3 linked regions of the Neurospora crassa OR74A genome follow. The protein of the gene in region 1 binds, or shares a complex with, the protein of each later gene. Links are inferred from orthologs where the notes say so. Each region holds a gene or a part of one and is shown on either strand. Other genes may lie near its edges. The genes, in order: des, NCU09119 and NCU03558.

Region 1 (3,047 bases):
TCCGAAAGCGAAGTCAGGGTGCAGCAAATTCTAGCTTAAAGGAGGAGGATTAGTTGCGAGCAAACATACATGTTCGCCTTCCCGATCGCGTTGCATAGTATGTATCAACCGCTCCGGAAACCCTGTCTTGAGCCTATGATAAAGCCGGAGTGGTGGTAACGAGACAAGCTTTATAATGTTGATGTGCGAGCTGGGGGTAGCGCAGAGTAGGAATGCGCGTCTCCTATTGTGTCGCTTTCAGTTGCTGAGCGCGACAGGATAAATGCCAGGTCGGGTAAGAGGTTGATTAAGAATGTCCATCGTAGGTTACGTAGGGAAAGGGTGATGATATTCGGCGTAACGCGATTATTGAGCCAAGGTTGTGAAGTTGGAGGTTTTTTGACGGTGATCAGTCCGTAAGATGTAAGGGTATACTCACCCTTCGCCAAACGGAAGTTGCTCATGTAAGCGAAGCTCGTGCCTCCCTAAACATAAGTGAATAAAACGGCTGTTGTCAGATGCGGCAGTCACGATGGCCGATCACTAGTGGCCCTCAATAGGCAAGATCTGTGCACACTCAAAGCAGCATGTTCAGGTGTTGTCTCCTTAACTAAGATAGGAAATCATGGTGTATGCTACAATGGGGGTAGGATTAAGGATGGTGATACATCTATTTGAGAACAGCCTGGAGGGACTCGAGGACCTACGTCATATCGTTAGTAACCACAGATGCGGTGGAATCGCGCCCAACTACCCGCCTCTCCAACTTACCTCGAGCTCAACCTGGGCCTCAGCAATGTCTTGCTGGCTACCACCACCGCTGACAATCTTCTGGGCCTCGGCGATCTGGGCGCGGACGGCCTCGGCGCTGAAGTCCTCAAGGGCGTAACCCTCAACGGCGTTGATGCTGAGCTTAGAGCCGGGCTGGACAACGGCAAAACCACCGGAAACTAGAACATCTCGTGTAAGCCCAAAGGGTACTTTGATATGGCGACATTTGTTGTTGCTTCTGCCGCTGCGGTTGCGGTTGCGGTTGTGGAGGACGATGACGTACGGAAGTACTGCTTGTTGCTGCCGCTCTCCTCGATGACCTCGACAAGGCCGGGCTTCAGCTGCTCGATGGAGGGAACGTGGTTGGCAAGGACACCCATCTCACCGGAGACGGCGGGGATGTTGACCTGGACGACATCCTGGGACTTGTAGATGGCCTATATGCGGCAATAACTCGTCAGCCATGGTGCTGGACCATGATGGCATACGCGGGCACATGTCAAGGTGGCATCGGATGGGCGTAGTCGAGCATCGATCGGACCGGGTCGCAGTCGTACCTGGTGAGGGAGGGAAAGGCTGAGCTTGATCTACATGACATGCGACAACAGTTAGAGCTATGATAACGATACGGAAGCTTGGGACTCTGAACATCAACATGCCTTGTCGGCGACGGCCTCAGCATACCCTCTGCGCTGGAGGGGGGCGCGGACGGCAGTGGGGCGCACCCGGAGGGCGGCACGAGCAATACGGAGGGAGTTCATGGTGATATGCGGTCTCAATTGAGGGCAGGCCGTCGTCGTTGTCGCGATCGGTCGTTCCGTATCGTCAAGCAGTTTTGCCAATGGCCCAATGCTAGTATGGAGTACCGACCTCAAATTCGCTTAGCCGGGATCCGGGGACAAGGAATAATGTTTGTGCGGGGCCCGTCTTCTGAGAGCTTCAGCACCTCAGCACCTCGAGCACTGGAGGGAGCTTGTCTTCCAGCGAAGCACCAGGCAAAAGCTTGGCAAAAGAACCTTGACGTCGGGCACGGTCGGGATGGTTCTTGGCTCTGCGGAAACTCCCGTTTTTCGATGATGCAACAAAAAGGAGATGACACACCGACTTCACATTCTACGCGCCAAGAGATTATGCAGCTAATTTCTAACGCTCTATCGAAGCTTTCGTCCAAGCAAATCCACGTTGTTCGACATACCTGTACGCCCCATGCCACGTTCGACAGCAGCGGAGCACGAGCCACTCACCTATTCCGATCAAACTGCAGTGAAGCTCCCAATGGCTCCGTTTCGCGAACTTCAGTTGCATCGGCTGGCCTTCCCTTTGGCTCACCTGGTCAATAACATCATGAAAATTTACCCAACACCAGGGGCATTGCCGAGACGGCACATCTCAAAACTACCATGTCGTTTCTCACTTTCACAGCCAGTCGTCTTTGCATCTTCGCATTGTTCTAGATTTCCATCCAGGATTTGCAGATCATGAAATAACCTCAAGCGCATATTGTATGCGGTGCGACCTGAAAAAGACCTCAGCACGTCAACACCGGCAAGTTAAACTTCATTCCAGTTTTCCGGCTGATAAATCGTTTAGGCGGCCCAGGTGTGTCAGCGCTTGAAACCTTGGGCTCATGGTGCTTTGGCTGCCCGGTCTCCGATTCCTGATGGCTTCATGACGCCTGTCACCGAACACCTCCAGCTTGCCCATGCTCCCATGTTGGATGGACCGAAACAAAGACCATCATGTCGCAAACCACAGCGCTGATTCCCATGATGAGTGCGCATTGGACCCCGTGGCCTATCTCTGAATCCCTCATTGGTATCCATCCACGCCATTGCAATTGTATGCCATCGGACAACGACCGAGATTCTCATGCAGCTATGTACATATTGCACCAAGGGTCCATAGGGCTAATGAGGAGGGGTCGGGTCCAACCACAGAGAGTCAAAATGACCAGGAATCACCAAATCCGACCCGGAATACGCAACACTACAAGGTCGATCTTCCCCCGACAAGACCGACCTTTCCTGCTTTTGGCATGGATGAATGCGAGTATTATGCACAAGTCAGACCATGCGAGCCGCACGCTTAACGTATCCTCCCATGCCTTTGCCAACCACTTCATCGCCAAAAAGCTGCTTCTGCCAACTTTATCGCCTTGCGAGAAAGACCATCACAGCCAAGCGCGCAAAAGGGCCGGTTTGTCTCACGGCCGCAATATCAAAATCTTTTCAATGGACCCGACAGCGAGGCGTCACCAGATGGGTAGCGTATGGTGTCGTTCAACAAATGGGCCTTTC
Region 2 (4,229 bases), on another chromosome or scaffold:
TAATAATTTCGAGGTTTCTAGCATCAAAACCAGCCTTTTTAATAATAAAGTCTTAATAGATTCTAACTAACATAATTGTACAGCCAAACCACGGAATGTTCTTAGGCAATAATAGCCGTAAGGTATATAGATATTGAAACTCCTATCGAAATTCGCGCTATTTTGATACGCAATATAACTCATCAATAGCAAAAAGACCGATCCGTTTATAGAATTCTAGGGACCGCAATATAGCCTTAAATTTTACACTTATCGCAAGCTCTAGGCTCAGTAAAACATGGGTATAATCGCCGCATTGAATCTAGTCCTAAATATCCCGGTTCTATATACGAATTAGTAGGATTCCAGTATAAAAGGGGGGCAAAAAGCTTACTCTTAGAATTACGTCTTTATCTACCCATACTAGCTTTAAATCTAGCACCTTAGTAGCAATATCATTACGTTAACTTTCCCTAAGCTTAGTAAACAGTACGATTTATATCGTAATTTTATTATACAAAGCTAAAAATACATATAGGACAATACTTTTTCCGTAGCCCATTACCACAACTAATATCGTATCCTTTTATTCGCATACTAGCCGCACTACCACTTAAACCTAGCCTTCTCGAGGCTCTCTATTATTACTAATAATATTTTTCATAACTCTTAGTACGCATTAGGGATTAATAGGGGCATTAACATCGGAATCTATAGCATTGAATGTAGTACTAATAGAATAAAAATTCGAAGAAAAAAAATAATACATCGCAAAGATAAGCGAATTGTACTCGGAGGATAAGACAATTGTAATAATCATACCTACAAAATTTCAAAAAGTTGAGATAAAATATAGTATTGTAGTAAATAGCTAGTCGGCCAACTGACATGTGTCAACACCTAATTTTTTTACGTTTATACAAAAACTTGGCACTTTTATTGGACGCATTAAAAAACTAATTATACTATTAGATTCGTCTCGTCGAGTAGATTCTCCCTATACCCATTAAAGTTCCAGAACTTCCTTTTTTATTTTATTATCATAGAGTCTTACTGGGAAGTTAGTGATTTTATCCCAGCCTCTACAATTCCTATCTGATTGGGAACTCAAACCTCTTTTTTAGGCGTTCTCAATCAATACCGTTAAATATACTAAAAGAATAGATGCACGGACCACAAGTCTGAAAGATTAGAAAGATTCAATTTGAATTTCCGGGCGCGCAGCGCCCTTTCCATTGTACGCGCAGCGCACGGGCCGCAAGCCCCCTTCCCGGCCGCAGGCCGCCCATGCCCAAAAAAGAGGTCTGATTCTGAGATAAGCTAAGTAGGCAGGTTTCAGTGAGGTGGATGGCACGGTGCCCAACAGGAACGGAACAAAAAGAGCTTTTCAAGACAGCCTTCAATTCCACAAGTGAGTTGTACCGCTTGTTCATCTGCAAGTGAGTAGACTGATGCCGCGGTGCAGGATCGCAGGTGCGGGCCAGACCGGGTGCCCCACCCACATGGTAGCTCTGGCAGCTGTCATGGCTGGCAAGAAAGTTTGGCAGAACTCGGCAGCAAGATGGCCTTCCACCTGTGTACATCCGGGCCATAGGTACACTAGATAGGTAAGTGAGGTGCTGCGTGGGGAGCACACCGCAGCTGGCAGGCAGCCAGTAACTAACCAAGCCAATGGCCGGGCAGCAGTCCTCAGCCATTGCCAGGCTCTAGCCGGGAAAAAGGCGAAGGCGCCCGACTGGGGACTGGACAGCGGCACGATGGCGAGCCACACCTCACGAAGAAAGCACGGCCGGAAAGTGAGCAGAGAGCGGAAAGTGTGGAACCGACCTCAGCAAACCTCTCACGCCAATTGCGTCCTATTCCTATTGATCACTCCCCCACGATCAATTGCCGCCTGAATATCAAGTGGTCAACCCCGGGCCACTCCTCTCCAGCAGGTCTCTCCCTCGTCAAATATCCATCTCAACATGCTGTCCAGAGCTGCCCGCCCGGCCCTGAGAGCTGGAGCCGCCGTCTCGTCCCGGTAGGTGCTCTCCCAAGAAAAAAAAAATACCATGTCCTTCTTCCGTAAGAGTGCTCCGTCCGTCTCCGTCCAACATCTCGCCATCTCGCCTCCGTCTGTTCGTCAACCACCGTGCACCAACCGACTACAGCTTCTCGGGGTCTTCGTCTGGCTCTCAGCTCTCTGTGCGACTTGGAAACGAATGCGATTGCGCCGCCAGGTCCCCGATACATGACGTCCGATATATGGAGGGGCAGCACAAGCAAGCAAGCAGGGAACGGGTCGGGTGGGGAGAGAGAGAGAGAAGAGGAGTTGGACACACACACACCCATACGCACACGAGAACGAGAACGGACACGCGATAGCCCCGACACATCGAACCTTGAGACAGAACATGCAGACTGATTGAAGGTCATGACAACAGAGCGGCTGCTCCCGGCGCGGCCACCTTCGCGACTCTCCGTGAAATCGAGACCCGCCTCAAGTCGATTCGCAACATCGAGAAGATCACCAACACCATGAAGATTGTTGCCTCGACCAAGCTCAACCGCGCCCAGCGTGCCATGACCGAGTCCCGCGGCTACGGTGCCACCAGCAACGAGGTCTTCACCTCGGCCGAGACTAAGCCTCTCGAGGCTGAGGGCAAGAAGAAGCTCGTCGTCGTCTGCTCCTCCGACAAGGGTCTCTGCGGTGGTGTCCACTCCGGTCTTGCGCGCTTCATCCGTCGCCGCGCCGCCACCGAGCCTGAGTTCGACATCGTCATCATCGGCGAGAAGGCCAAGGCCCAGCTCTCCCGTACCAACGCCAAGGACATCGTCCTCAACTTCTCCGGTGTTGGCAAGGACATCCCCACCTTCGTCGAGGCCTCTGCCATCGCCGACCAGATCACCCAGCTCAAGGGCGACTACTCTTCCGTTGAGATTGTCTACAACAAGTTCATCAACGCCACCAGCTACGAGCCCACCGTCATTGAGGCATTTTCTGAGGATGCCATCCTCGCTTCCCGTACGTCCTGTCGGCCACCGTGATGCCCGTCGAGGTTCAGTCAGCTGACTAAGTTATATCCAGCCAACTTTTCCGCTTTTGAGGTTGATGAAGAGGTCCTTGGCAACCTCCGCGAGTACGCCCTCGCCAACTCCCTCTACTGGGCTCTCTGCGAGGGTCACGCCTGCGAGATTTCTGCCCGTCGCAACGCCATGGACGTGAGTTCTCCTCCCGTCCCATGCCACCTCTTTGAAGTCGACAGCGGACAGGCTGCTGACGTGAATTCTCTTACCCCTTATCCAGAACGCTTCCAAGAACGCCGGCGAGATGATCAGCAAGTACCAGATTCTCTTCAACCGTACTCGCCAGGCCGTCATTACCGGCGAGTTGGTCGAAATTATCACTGGTGCCACCGCTTCGGCCGATATGTAAACAGCAGCCTAAACAACCGCAGTCTATTAATAGAAGACGAAGATGTATTGAGGGAAAAGGAGAGGGGACCTGAGTAAAAGAAAAGGGTCCAAAGCCGAAATCCATCATCCCTGTCTGCACTCTCAGTTGACATTCAACCATGCCGTTCGAAAGTGTACGAGTATGCGTGGTGTGTGGTATGTCTAGTCCTGGTCCAAAAAGCTGCGTGCCAAATGCCTTCCTTTGTACCAATCAAATGAGCTAGCCTTTCCTTTATTGTACCAACGCCTTCAGTCCATAAATTGTACCACTTCTTTCACACACCTGCCCACTCCGTCGTCAGTAAGCCTTGAAGACATAGCCGCTGTAGTTTCAGTCCACTCAACAAATCTCAGCTGGGATGAGCGCTTGTCAGATGCATGACAATGTCGCTCAGTACAAATTCGTCGGTAAATTCTCAGTAAGCAACCTGACCACGCCGCCGGCCAACTTTCATTCGAAATAAAAGCCGCAGACGGGTGATAAGGGGTGGGGCTTCCATCTCGATGGGTTCGTATATTTGTGAGGAGTTGCTTGTGTTTCCAATATCATCCTGTCTTATCCCGCCTCCATTCCGCGCCGCCGTCGCTTGTTTGGGGCGCTTGATGGGACTGAATGTGTGAAGAGCATGGGAGATGGGATGGAAGTTTCTAATCCTTTTCCGATGTTCAACGGTTAAAAGGACTGGCTGCTTCATTTGCTGTGGAGTTTTGTACATACTCACTTCCCCGCCTGGTTTTAGTATAGGCGACGTTTGCATCTATGCCCTTGGGACAATAATAAAGAGTGGAACAAAGAGTGGCTGTGTGTGTGT
Region 3 (3,598 bases), on another chromosome or scaffold:
AAGTGGTCCCCCGGTTTCAGCCTCCTCGCCAAGGCCACCGCCGCCAACCCCGGCGCCGAGGCCTTTGCTCACAACTACGCCTACTCCGATGCTGGTCTCCTCGCCATCCAGATCACCGGCAAGGGTGCCGCCGTCGGCAAGGTCGCCGTCGAGGCCGTCAAGGGTCTCAAGGCCATCGCTGCCGGTGGTGTCTCCAAGGAGGACCTCACCAAGGCTATCGCCAAGGCCAAGTTCAACCTCCTCTCCGCCAGCGAGGTTTCCGGCACTGGCCTCGTCCACGCCGGTGCCAACCTTCTTGCCGGTGGCAAGCCCATCCAGGTTGCCGAGACCCTCAAGGCTCTTGAGGGCGTTACCGCTGAGAAGCTCCAGGCTGTATGTGTGAACCTACAAGAAGTTGGAAAAGAAAAAAAAGATATGCTAACAAACGTTCAACAGGCTGCCAAGAAGCTCCTTGAGGGCAAGGCTTCCGTTTCCGCCGTCGGTGACCTCCACGTCCTTCCCTATGCTGAGGATCTCGGTCTCAAGGTATAGACGTAGACTAGACTTTGGGGGCGCAGAGCGGGTTGTGCAATTCGTAGTTAATTGAAAGAGGAAATACCTAAACGCAGCGAAACGAACCGATTGAAACTGGAAAGGCGTGGATACTTTTTTGAGAAGACGCCAGGGTTGGGAGACAAAAACCAAAACCGTGTACCAACAGCAAAACCGGCCGGGATGAAGTGTGTTGTAGACCTTTCTCGTTGTGAAGCGGGAGATGAAGAACGAACGGCTGGGGACCGACGACTTTTTGTGCATATACAAACCTCTAGACTTTTTATCATTCCTCGCCACTACTTCTCTAGCAGAGCTATAAAACACAAAATGCAGCAGGCATTATTTCTTTTGTTGACATTGGATACCTGTTACAAACGAGGGTGAAATGTCAAGCTTAAGGAATGAGATGAGATATGCTAGTGAGTTTTACGGCGAAGATAAGTAGTTTGGAAGAGACGAGAATGCTTGAGCTCATTTGAAAGTTTACAAATGCGATAGCACATTCAATGTCAAACATCAATCACACAGGTCCATTCAAAATAGGTATCAGGGGTCGATGTTTACTTTTGACCTTGTTAGGTAAGCTGCCGAGCTTGCCCTGGCGGCGGCGGCGGCGGGCGCCCGTAGCTCCTGTTCCGTCACTGCATGGCATGGAAGGAAGCTTGGGGCGGCGTCTCAGTTGGGGGAGTTGGGGTCACAACTGAAGACAAAAAAAAAGGAGGGGCATCACGTGACACACGACGGAGCTTCGGGCAGCGGAGCTTCTCGGGTTCCCTGGTGTTGGATGTGGATTGGGTGGATGGGTGTGCCAGGGTGGGGACCAGTTTTGTCGAGTCGAGAGTGAACCGAATCGCGCGCAAGCAAGTACCGCAGCAAGCAGCAAGCAGCAGACAGCAACAAGTCTTTCTTCGTTTCACCGTCAAGACAACACCCACCCACCCACCCCACAATCTTCGCCCAACATGGTGTTCGCTTGGAAGGCCGCTGGCATTACGTGAGTATCTTGTCTTTTCGTTTTTATTGGCTTGGGGACGGGGAGAGGCAGGGCAAATAGGGCAGTTTATCGGAAGTGTGGGAGGAAGAAGACCAGAATTGCCGCGACAGAGAGAGAGAGAGAGAGAGAGAGAGAAGGATGGAGGAGGATGATGGGACCAACGAGCCTGCCTACCCACGAACGAGCTCGACAACAGAGATTACAACGATTACATGCGCCGAAATCTGGGGTTGTAATTGCCCCGCGACTTGAAATACGATCGATGGACGACAATCTACGGGCGACCTACAACAGGTGGAATGAGAAAGACTGGGAGAGAAAGAGGACGGAGATAACCCCAGGTCATGGACGACAGCAGGACCCAGGGAAACATTGAGGGAGATCAAGGAGAGAGATAATACACGACACACTTGGTCGAGAAAAGCGCCGAATGTCCATGACATGGAGAGACGGGCCCGAATGCGACAAAAACACCGGAAAGCGAGCAAGCGATGCGTAACGACGACTTCGAAGCAACAAAGCAGGCCAGCATTCATCCAGAGCTACGACAGACATACGCACTACAATCACCAGATAGCGCACGGAATGAGCAACACACGAGGATCAGGAGCAGGGCAAGAGGGGGGAACATAGCAGAGGGGACCGGACGAGAGAAAACAGTACTACAAGACAACGAAGGCTAACACGGTTCACGAAAATTACAGCTACAACCGCTACCTCGCGGTCGCCTCTCGTGCGCTCCGTCGCTCCCTCAAGGAGGATAAGAGAATCATTGCTGAGCGTCGTGGCGAGGCTGCCGAGGTCAAGTTCGCTAAGTGGTCGGTACGTAATAATCTTTTTGTCTTTTGGCTATCGGGGAACAATCAGACAAGAGAAGAAGAAAGAGGAGGGGGGAATGTCACGAGTGAGGAGACGGAGAGAAAAAAAATCATGAAGATGGATGGACACCGGCACTGGACGTAAACAACACGAAAGAGAAGCTAATCACACCCCCTCTCTTTCCAAACTACAGAACGGCAAGCCTGGCGAGACCGTCAACCTCAGCTCCGCCAACGCTGCCGCCGCCGCCGAGAACGCCACCTCCGTTCCCTCTTCTTAAGCGGATCGACACACACACAACCAACACACCGTGACGATGTGCTAGGAATGGTGGTGTAGTGGTGGACCGGGAGATGAGAGAAATAGGGTCATATCGCGAATCGCTCCCGCATGGCACTCAAATCCTCACCTCCTGCCGAGTGTCACTAAGCCCGAAGACGTATGACCTGTATCATCAAACATATTGGGGGAGCGAGGAAGAGAAACTCAATAGACGGTTTATTGGCATTTACTTTGTGAACTGGGTGTGACTGGTTGGAAGTGAATCTGAGTGACATATAAATGAACTTGAAAAAGTGTTAGAATGGGTGTGCCGCTCATTGACAGAGGTAACAGGTCCGAGAGTCGTAGATGTTGCACAAGGGATTCCTTTCCCTGAAGTACAGCGTCTCATTGCCTCTTTGGGCTTCATTGCATGATATGCAAAATACGGTAGGCGCTTATTCGACGAAGCCAGTTGAGTTGAAAGATTGGGTTCTTAAAAATAGAAAATGTGATCAATAAAGAATTGTTTGTCATTTCTTAGCAGCCTCATCAACCCACTGACAAGCGGAAAGTGAGGAAGCTTACCTCTAGGTAGGTATGTACCCGAAAGGGGAGTCGGTCGTTAACATTCGGGCTCACGGACGCTACCAGCAAAGAAGTCCGGGCAGCCAGGCACAGACTCAGGTTCCTCCCCTAACAGAGCCAAACATCACCCGACTTCCTCCACTCACCTAACCACAAACAAACAAATGTTCATCTCAAGTGCATACTAATTACCTTTCCTACGGGAGCCCATCCATAGCTCTTGTAAAAAGAAAAAAAAAAAAAACACAAGACCATGATCCCAGACGACCACCAAGCTGCAGTTCAAAGAGGTTTGTTTCTTTCGCTACAATTCCCAAAATTTCAAATATTTCAACAACGGCACCACCACTACCACACCACGTTGGGCAACAACCCCGCTATAACATTGTAATGACATCTCAC

Evidence for each region.
Region 2: the proteins of des (region 1) and NCU09119 are in contact, whole or in part, in a crystal structure (PDB 3FKS), measured with the Saccharomyces cerevisiae proteins. The link is inferred for Neurospora crassa OR74A from reciprocal best matches to the Saccharomyces cerevisiae genes ATP16 and ATP3. Residues at the interface, in NP_010280.1 of Saccharomyces cerevisiae: Gln35, Ala37, Leu38, Pro39, His40, Glu41, Thr42, Ser45, Lys57, Val68, Pro69, Thr70, Val71, Gln73, Gly94, Gly95, Phe96, Thr98, Val99, Gln100, Pro101, Asp102, Gln104, Cys106, Thr108, Ala109, Ile110; in NP_009595.1 of Saccharomyces cerevisiae: Ala70, Ser73, Ala74, Lys76, Met77, Glu79, Ala80, Glu81, Leu83, Phe84, Asn87, Phe173, Lys229, Phe230, Glu231, Ile232, Ala236, Asn237, Val238, Asp241, Leu242, Tyr245, Leu252.
Region 3: the proteins of des (region 1) and NCU03558 are in contact, whole or in part, in a crystal structure (PDB 3ZIA), measured with the Saccharomyces cerevisiae proteins. The link is inferred for Neurospora crassa OR74A from reciprocal best matches to the Saccharomyces cerevisiae genes ATP16 and ATP15. Residues at the interface, in NP_010280.1 of Saccharomyces cerevisiae: His40, Gln73, Leu74, Leu75, Pro76, Phe91, Ile92, Ser93, Gly94, Gly95, Phe96, Ile110, Glu111, Phe113, Glu116, Ser117, Phe118, Ser119, Asn122, Ile123, Leu126, Arg140, Ala143, Glu144, Ala146, Ile147, Gln148, Glu150, Val151, Leu152; in NP_015052.1 of Saccharomyces cerevisiae: Ser2, Trp4, Ala7, Gly8, Ile9, Ser10, Tyr11, Tyr14, Leu15, Val17, Ala18, Ala19, Ala21, Ile22, Arg23, Ser24, Ser25, Leu26, Lys27, Thr28, Leu30, Gln31, Arg38.

What each region holds. Positions count from the first base shown.
Region 1 is NC_026503.1:3,663,722-3,666,768, reverse strand, and holds des (ATP synthase subunit delta), read right to left. Parts: upstream 1,632-3,047; 5' UTR 1,512-1,631; coding exon 1,410-1,511; intron 1,338-1,409; coding exon 1,308-1,337; intron 1,188-1,307; coding exon 1,034-1,187; intron 930-1,033; coding exon 751-929; intron 683-750; coding exon 650-682; 3' UTR 551-649; downstream 1-550. Other genes in the region: NCU16680 (hypothetical protein), read right to left, coding at 70-96; NCU00384 (hypothetical protein), read left to right, coding at 2,697-3,017. UniProt on the Saccharomyces cerevisiae protein: Mitochondrial membrane ATP synthase (F(1)F(0) ATP synthase or Complex V) produces ATP from ADP in the presence of a proton gradient across the membrane which is generated by electron transport complexes of the respiratory chain.
Region 2 is NC_026501.1:5,400,823-5,405,051, forward strand, and holds NCU09119 (ATP synthase subunit gamma), read left to right. Parts: upstream 1-1,361; 5' UTR 1,362-1,586; intron 1,587-1,665; 5' UTR 1,666-1,946; coding exon 1,947-2,002; intron 2,003-2,405; coding exon 2,406-2,986; intron 2,987-3,049; coding exon 3,050-3,183; intron 3,184-3,268; coding exon 3,269-3,397; 3' UTR 3,398-3,699; downstream 3,700-4,229. UniProt on the Saccharomyces cerevisiae protein: Mitochondrial membrane ATP synthase (F(1)F(0) ATP synthase or Complex V) produces ATP from ADP in the presence of a proton gradient across the membrane which is generated by electron transport complexes of the respiratory chain.
Region 3 is NC_026502.1:232,602-236,199, forward strand, and holds NCU03558 (hypothetical protein), read left to right. Parts: upstream 1-1,354; 5' UTR 1,355-1,496; coding exon 1,497-1,528; intron 1,529-2,232; coding exon 2,233-2,350; intron 2,351-2,540; coding exon 2,541-2,627; 3' UTR 2,628-2,974; downstream 2,975-3,598. Other genes in the region: NCU03559 (ubiquinol-cytochrome c reductase complex core protein 2), read left to right, coding at 1-372, 436-531; NCU03557 (amino-acid N-acetyltransferase subunit Mak10), read left to right, coding at 3,450-3,486. UniProt on the Saccharomyces cerevisiae protein: Mitochondrial membrane ATP synthase (F(1)F(0) ATP synthase or Complex V) produces ATP from ADP in the presence of a proton gradient across the membrane which is generated by electron transport complexes of the respiratory chain.